2 linked regions of the Nothobranchius furzeri genome follow. The protein of the gene in region 1 binds, or shares a complex with, the protein of each later gene. Links are inferred from orthologs where the notes say so. Each region holds a gene or a part of one and is shown in the gene's direction. Other genes may lie near its edges.

The links. Proteins that work in one complex are often made in the same cells at the same time.
Region 2: trappc8 (region 1) and trappc12 share a complex: the UniProt entries of both Homo sapiens proteins name them as parts of the multisubunit TRAPP (transport protein particle) complex. The link is inferred for Nothobranchius furzeri from reciprocal best matches to the Homo sapiens genes TRAPPC8 and TRAPPC12.

Annotation. Positions count from the first base shown.
Region 1 is NC_091756.1:54,984,075-54,987,727, forward strand, and holds part of trappc8 (trafficking protein particle complex subunit 8), read left to right. Parts: intron 1-478; coding exon 479-579; intron 580-1,578; coding exon 1,579-1,684; intron 1,685-1,874; coding exon 1,875-2,006; intron 2,007-2,111; coding exon 2,112-2,336; intron 2,337-2,697; coding exon 2,698-2,803; intron 2,804-3,653. UniProt on the Homo sapiens protein: Plays a role in endoplasmic reticulum to Golgi apparatus trafficking at a very early stage. Maintains together with TBC1D14 the cycling pool of ATG9 required for initiation of autophagy. Involved in collagen secretion.
Region 2 is NC_091758.1:44,447,285-44,450,630, forward strand, and holds the end of trappc12 (trafficking protein particle complex subunit 12), read left to right. Parts: intron 1-1,291; exon of another isoform or gene 1,292-1,478; intron 1,479-1,610; exon of another isoform or gene 1,611-2,117; intron 2,118-2,433; coding exon 2,434-2,521; intron 2,522-2,585; coding exon 2,586-2,828; downstream 2,829-3,346. UniProt on the Homo sapiens protein: Component of the TRAPP complex, which is involved in endoplasmic reticulum to Golgi apparatus trafficking at a very early stage.

The DNA of each region.
Region 1 (3,653 bases):
TGCTAGACTATGCCTCTCAGCTGGCCAGGGAACGCCTTAGGATTGCCCGGAGGAGCTGGCTTAAGTGGCTGGGGAGAGGGTCTGGTCTGGGCGTCCCTGCTTAGGCTACTGCCCCATGACCCGGCCCTGGATAAGCAACTGAAAATGGGAAAAAAATGAGAGATTTAAAAGCAAAAACTGTCTTTTTAAATAAAAAAATGCTTTATTGCTGTAAAGACACTGACGCCTGTCACTGACTCGATGCAATCTGCTGGGTTCCTTATATAGGAAACGTTTTACTGATTTTGTCTTAATGAACTGAACTGTATTGGAATATTTACAGTGTGAAGTGCCTTGAGATGACTCTTGTTGTGATTTGGCGCTGTATAAATAAACTGAATTGAAAAATCTTCTTTTTTCCTCTTGTGTGTAAAACTAGATGAGACTTCTTCCTCTGTGCGTTTCTGTTCTGACATCTGTCATGTCATGTGTCCTGTAGGAGATGGCTGCAGTGTCGGCCTTTCTGCAGAGTGGAGCCCCCAGACCGTACCCGTCGCATTACATGGACACAGCAATACAAACCTACAGAGATGTCTGCAGGTACGAGCAAGTCACACACACACACACACACACACACACACACACACACACACACACACACACACACACACACACACACACACACCAGTCTGCCTGCTGTTTACTGTTGCACAGTTTCTACTTACAAAGTGTGTTAGGGTTGTTGTACTGGTAACAAACCATTCTGATTCAGCCAATGGGCTTAGATACTTTAGATACACATCTAACAGGTTCGATCAGTGCTCCTTTCATCTTATTCTTTACCTGCCAGGGCAGAACAGGATGAGAGGAAGTGAATTTCTCTACATCAAACAGCTACTTCAGTAAAGCGTGCAAGCTCTGCAACAAAGCAGGTTCTGATCGCTCCATTGATGGCTCTCGGTGAAAATACATATTTTTTTCTAAATGGACTTAAATACATCTATCTACTCCTGATTCTAATAAAGCCAGAGTCCAAATAATCCAAAATTGATGTAAAAGCTATTCCAAACGAGCTGTCGCCATCTTGTTCCACTCTGTTGCATCATCCCGCCCTCCAGACGAATAGAGGGTCCTGACTGGCCCACAAAGCAGATAAAGCGCAGTGATTGGTTCATAAAGTAGATAGAGTGCTATGATTGGCCCACCATTATAGACCAATCACAGCTCTCTGTGTTTGAAACCCCTCTAGAGAGCTGTGATTGGCCAGCCAGAATGCTGCTAGGGGCTGCAGAGGTTCCAGTGGAGCGTTTCTAGACCAAACTGTGCAAAGCAAGCATTTGGTCTAGTTCACTAGGCTAGAAAATCGTATTGCAGTAGTGGAAACACTGAACCAAAAGCATGAACAAGTACCTCCAGCTCAGGACATGACGCAGTAGAAGTGAGTTTAGCCATATTACGATAGAAGAAGCCATCTGAGTCACAGGTAACACCACAGAAGAGCTTGTTAAAGATTTTAAAAAAATGTTTGTTCTGTTGGTCCAAACTCCCACACTGGGCTGCATACTGACCTGTGAAATCAGTGTTTCGTGTCCCCAATAGGAACATGGTGCTGGCGGAGCGGTGTGCTCTATTGAGCTCTGAGATACTGAAGAGTCAGGGAAAATACTCAGAGGCTGCAGCGCTTCTCATTAAGATGACCAGTGAGGTGAGAAAACATTGTTTCTGTTGGGGATTACAGCTGTAGTAAAGTGCATGTTGGTTGTGGACGTTTAGCTGTTTTAGCAGTGATTAAAATCAGAGAAATCAAGTGTGTGTGCGCGCGTGTGTGTGTGTGTGTGTGTGTGTGCGCGTGCGTGCGTGCGTGCGTGCGTGGGTGTGTGTTTTTCCCCCTGCAGGACTCTGACCTACGCAGCGCTCTGCTGTTGGAGCAGGCAGCCCACTGTTTCATTAACATGCGTAACCCAATGGTGCGCAAGTTTGCCTTCCACATGATCCTGGCTGGTCATCGTTTCAGCAAAGCGAGACAGGTAAGCCTCGCACCTGTTCTACGTTCTCTACTACTTCTGCCTTATTGATTCTGTTGTTGGTTCACAGACGTGTCTCACCTTGTCTCTTTCTGTTTATCTCCAAAGACGAGACACGCTCTGCGCTGTTACTGCCAAGCCATGCAGGTGTACCAGGACAGGGGCTGGTCCTTGGCAGAAGATCATATCAACTTCACCATTGGCCGCCACTCTTTCACACATGGTCAATCAGAGGATGCTGTGATGGCTTTCAGACAAATCTTGATCAATGACAGCCGACAGACGGCCACACAGCAGGCTGCCTTCCTCAGAGAGTACCTCTACGTGTACAAAGTAAGTCCTAAATACTGCTCCTAGTTTGGTGAGCTAAGCTTCGGCACATTACATAATCGGAGAGTTAATAATCCCTAATCTGACATCCTGTTTGCTGTTGTTCAACTAACATCATTGCCTAGTAGCGTAACTGATCTATCATTCCCTTTAGCTCAGACCAACTGGAAAAATCAGCAACAATGTCAGTCAGGCAGTTTACTCTGTGTATATGGATCAGTACCGTCAGTCTCACATCTGCTCAGGTCCAATCCTGACCTCTGGATGCTGAATGGGGCTGGTCCCAGCTGTAGATTTAGTGAAATTAGAATATTGTCATTATATTTTATAGGAAGAAATTAAATAACATGTTTTTTTTTTTAAGAGTGTGAATGGAGAAAAGAAAGGATGCCTCCCTGAGCTGCCGCTGCCCTACATCCAGAGCTCTACTACCAGGGTCTTCTTTGGACACGAGCGACGCCTCGCAGAAGGTAGCGCACAGATTCATCACTTTTCTCATTCCGTCCTTCGTCTCCTTCACGTCCATGCTGCTGTGCGAGTCATGTGACCCGGGCTGGGAGCTGAACATGGAGACATCTAGACTAACAGACGCTGAACTGAAGTGGCAGCTTCAGCTACATTAGAACAAGCTGTTAGTCCTCTCTGAACTCTAAACCAGAAGGCTGCTGCTGTTGAATAATCATCTAATTATTAATTACCGTAAATCCTCTAATACAGGCCCGGGCCTGTATTTGACTCAAGCTCCAGACCTTTATTGGAAGGAGGACCAGAATTAGAGGCAGGCCTCTATTTCTATTTGAGCAAAATGAACTAATGGTTCACTGGAGTTTTTGACAATTAAAATTGCGCCCACATTTTCAAAGTTAAAAACATTTTTTTTAACAACGGTAGTTTCTGCTTCAGCCATCTCCCCCCTCCCCCTGCGCTGCGGCCGCAAACTCACTGATGCGCCTGCAGCCTCTCGGAGTTCCTGCTGCTCTAAACATTAAAATAATTATTTCATTTTCTCTTCCTCACTTCTGATTACCTTCAATGGTGTCTGTTTGTTGCAACCAGCAGGTACAAAAACTAACTTGTTTTTATTTGACTATTTTTCTGTCCTGTCTGTTTATTATCTTCCTGCATCTCCTCTCAATCCTAAAGAAAAACTGCTACCTGGGTTCATATATATTCACCTCATGAGTTACCTTTGAACTGCAGTTCTAAAAGATCTACCGACCGCAAAAACAGCGGAGTGCTCGCTGCTTGCCGGCCGCATCAGTGATCGGTGCGCCACCGGAGGACAAGGTGATGCGCCCCGCTCCACAGCAGCGAATCGCA
Region 2 (3,346 bases), on another chromosome or scaffold:
CTCTTAAAAGGTCCCGTAACTCCTTTAGGTGAGCTCTGACCCCTGCCCTAGAGGAAGATCATGTGATGCTTACATCAGAACCTCTGAAACAACTCCTTTTGGAAAACATCGTCGTCGTCGTCTTCCTCCGCTTATCCGGGTCCGGGTTGCGGGGGCAGCATCCCAACTAGGGAGCTCCAGGCCGTCCTCCCCCCGGCCGCCTCCACCAGCTCCTCCGGCAGGACCCCAAGGCGTTCTATGGCGTTTAAAGCGTGCCACAACCCGTGCACGCGCATTGGGTCCACAGCGCGCGTGTGAACGGGACTCGCGAGCGGAAATATACATGGCGAGAGGTCATTTGTGCACTGAGAGGGAGCAAACTGTGTCTGTGAGCGCACAAGGATGTGCACAAGTGACAAACCTGCGTGCGCGCGTTGTCAACGAGCACACGGCAGAGGAAAACGTGCGCGCGCGGCAGCCTCTCTGCGCGCTCGGTTTCTGACTCCTGCTCGCTCGGCTGTAAGGGCTTTTGGCACTCTGGAGGCGTGGCCTGTGGCAGATCTTCTCTGTCCTCTGATTGGTTAGTTCACCCCACACTTTACCCTCTATCTATATAAAAAAGTCTGAGATTCAGTAGTTGCTGGCATAGCTCAGCTGGGAGAGCGGGTGACTCTCGCCCCGGAGGATCCAGGTTCGAGTCCGGGCAAGGAAAATGTCGTAGATGTCATGTTAATTTTTCTTAATTTCAGGTATTTTACAGTTGTGACCGTTCAACTGTCATTAAACGTCCGAATGTTTGCTGGGCAGTGTTTTAAAAAGTGCACATCAGCTAGATGGTTTTAACCATATAAAATTACATTTTTTGTGGAGAGAGAGAGAGAGAGAGAGAGAGAGGTGTTCTTGTCTCATTAATGAATTGTTTATTTTTTTCAGTATTTAATTGACGAATTATCCTTTCAAATAATTAATTGATGAGTTACATAATTGTCCATTTAGAATTGTTGAATGGACTGAGTCAAGTTTGGTGCACTTTATATATTTCAAAACATGTTTTTTTTTATTTTAATGATGCATATAAATAATTTAAATGTTAATTTAATGAAATATTTCTATTTTTTCATTACCTCACCCTTGTTTTGACAAAAACGGGACCTTGCTGGATAATATCATGGAGAAACTATTTGTTCACAGTACATGGCTCAGTGAGGATCTGTGTACCAAAGGAGGAGATACTCAGAAATCTGTCTGCAGATTGTTACAACCCAGACTGGAAGTGGTGGGCTGTAATAAGAAAGGAGACCAAACAGAGGAGTGGGGGTTCAACAACTGATTTATTTAACCAAAGTAAGGATTTACTAAAGCAAGTTAGTGAACAGAAAATGGCCAGTGAGGACTCTCCACCACACAGGAGAGACCCAGTGAAAGCAGAAAAACAGTAGGCTTTGTAGGCAGCACCACACCCTGAGCCCAGGTGCCTCCAAGGCTGCTTAACCAGCTGCCTACAACAGAAGAAAAACACAATTAAACACAAATGAAAACCCAATGAGACGGTGGGGGCATCACAACACGTTCAGGACTACCCAAACACCAGTAATTCTTGACTGCACTGATCTGCTTTAGTAAATCCTTACTTTGGTTAAATAAATCAGTTGTTGAACCCCCACTCCTCTGTTTGGTCTCCTTTCTTATTACAGCCCACCACTTCCAGTCTGGGTTGTAACAATCTGCAGACAGATTTCTGAGTATCTCCTCCTTTGGTACACAGATCCTCACTGAGCCAAGTACTGTGAACAAATAGTTTCTCCATGATATTATCCAGCAAGGTCCCGTTTTTGTCAAAACAAGGGTGAGGTAATGAAAAAATAGAAATATTTCATTAAATTAACATTTAAATTATTTATATGCATCATTAAAATAAAAAAAACATGTTTTGAAATATATAAAGTGCACCAAACTTGACTCAGTCCATTCAACAATTCTAAATGGACAATTATGTAACTCATCAATTAATTATTTGAAAGGATAATTCGTCAATTAAATACTGAAAAAAAATAAACAATTCATTAATGAGACAAGAATCTCTCTCTCTCTCTCTCTCTCTCTCTCTCTCTCTCTCTCTCTCTCTCTCTCTCTCTCTCTCTCTCTCTCTCTCTCTCTCTCTCTCTCTCTCTCTCTCTCTCTCTCTCTCTCTCTCTCTCTCTCTCTCTCTCTCTCTCTCTCTCTCTCTCTCTCTCTCTCTCTCTCTCTCTCTCTCTCTCTCTCTCTCTCTCTCTCTCTCGTGAAATGGTGGATTTATCACAGATTTGAGCTTAATGCCTGTAAAAGTGACTGAGCTGCAACCGTTTGGTTTAAGTGTGTCCACTGGCCCCTTGGTGCACCAACAAAAACACCTTCAGTGAGTTATAAAAACACCGTCTTCCTCCCCAACGATGATCTGTGTGTTTCACTCCTCAGGGCCTTCGTCTACCTCAGTCAGAACAGCTACGCCGAAGCACACGCCTCCTTTTTAGAAGTGCTGAAGATCGACCCCCGACACCCCGTCGTGAGTGAATGCAGCAGGTTCGCTTTAGTTAAAAAGCAACGATTTCACACGTCTCTGTCTGCAGACCAACAACAACGCAGCGGTCTGCCTCCTATACCTGGGCCGGCTGAAGGAGTCCCTGGGTCAGCTGGAGGGCCTGGTGCAGCAGGACCCCGCCCTCTACCTCCACGAGAGCGTGCTCTTCAACCTGACCACCATGTACGAGCTGGAGTCGTCCCGGAGCACGCAGAAGAAACAGGCGTTGTTGGAGGCCGTGGCCTGCCGGGAGGGCGACAGCTTCAACACGCAGTGCCTCAAACTGGTCTAGACCGGAACCGGGGTTTAATCCTGGGAAAACCGGAGTTCCTACATCTGCATCAACACGTTGGCTTGTTATACAGATTAAAAGGAGTTGTGTTTGCTCTGCTGATCCTAAAGCTGCAGCAGAAAAGAATCATGGAGCTAAAACAAACTTCTCTCTGTCTGCTTACGTGTGTAAAGATTCCAGTTTTACAGGAAGTGAACCTCAGATCTTTAGCCGAGCAGCAAGTGAGAACTGCGGAGGGTTGTGGGGTGGACCCAAGTCGCTGCGGCGGGAATCTGGAGGAGGAACTCGCCGCCGTACAGGAGCATCCATCGTCCTCCACCTGGCAGCGGTGTCGTGCTCCACTCAGGAGGTCATGATGGACAAGACCTGAAACTGCAGCAGCAATCGGACTTATTTATCCAGTCTTGTGCTGCTTGTTGCTTCAGAACTAGCCTGAGGACTTTAAGTCATCACAAGAGCAGGATCAAAGGCTTCAAGCTTCTCAAATGTTCCTCTGAATTCAGAAAAACGTTTAAAAA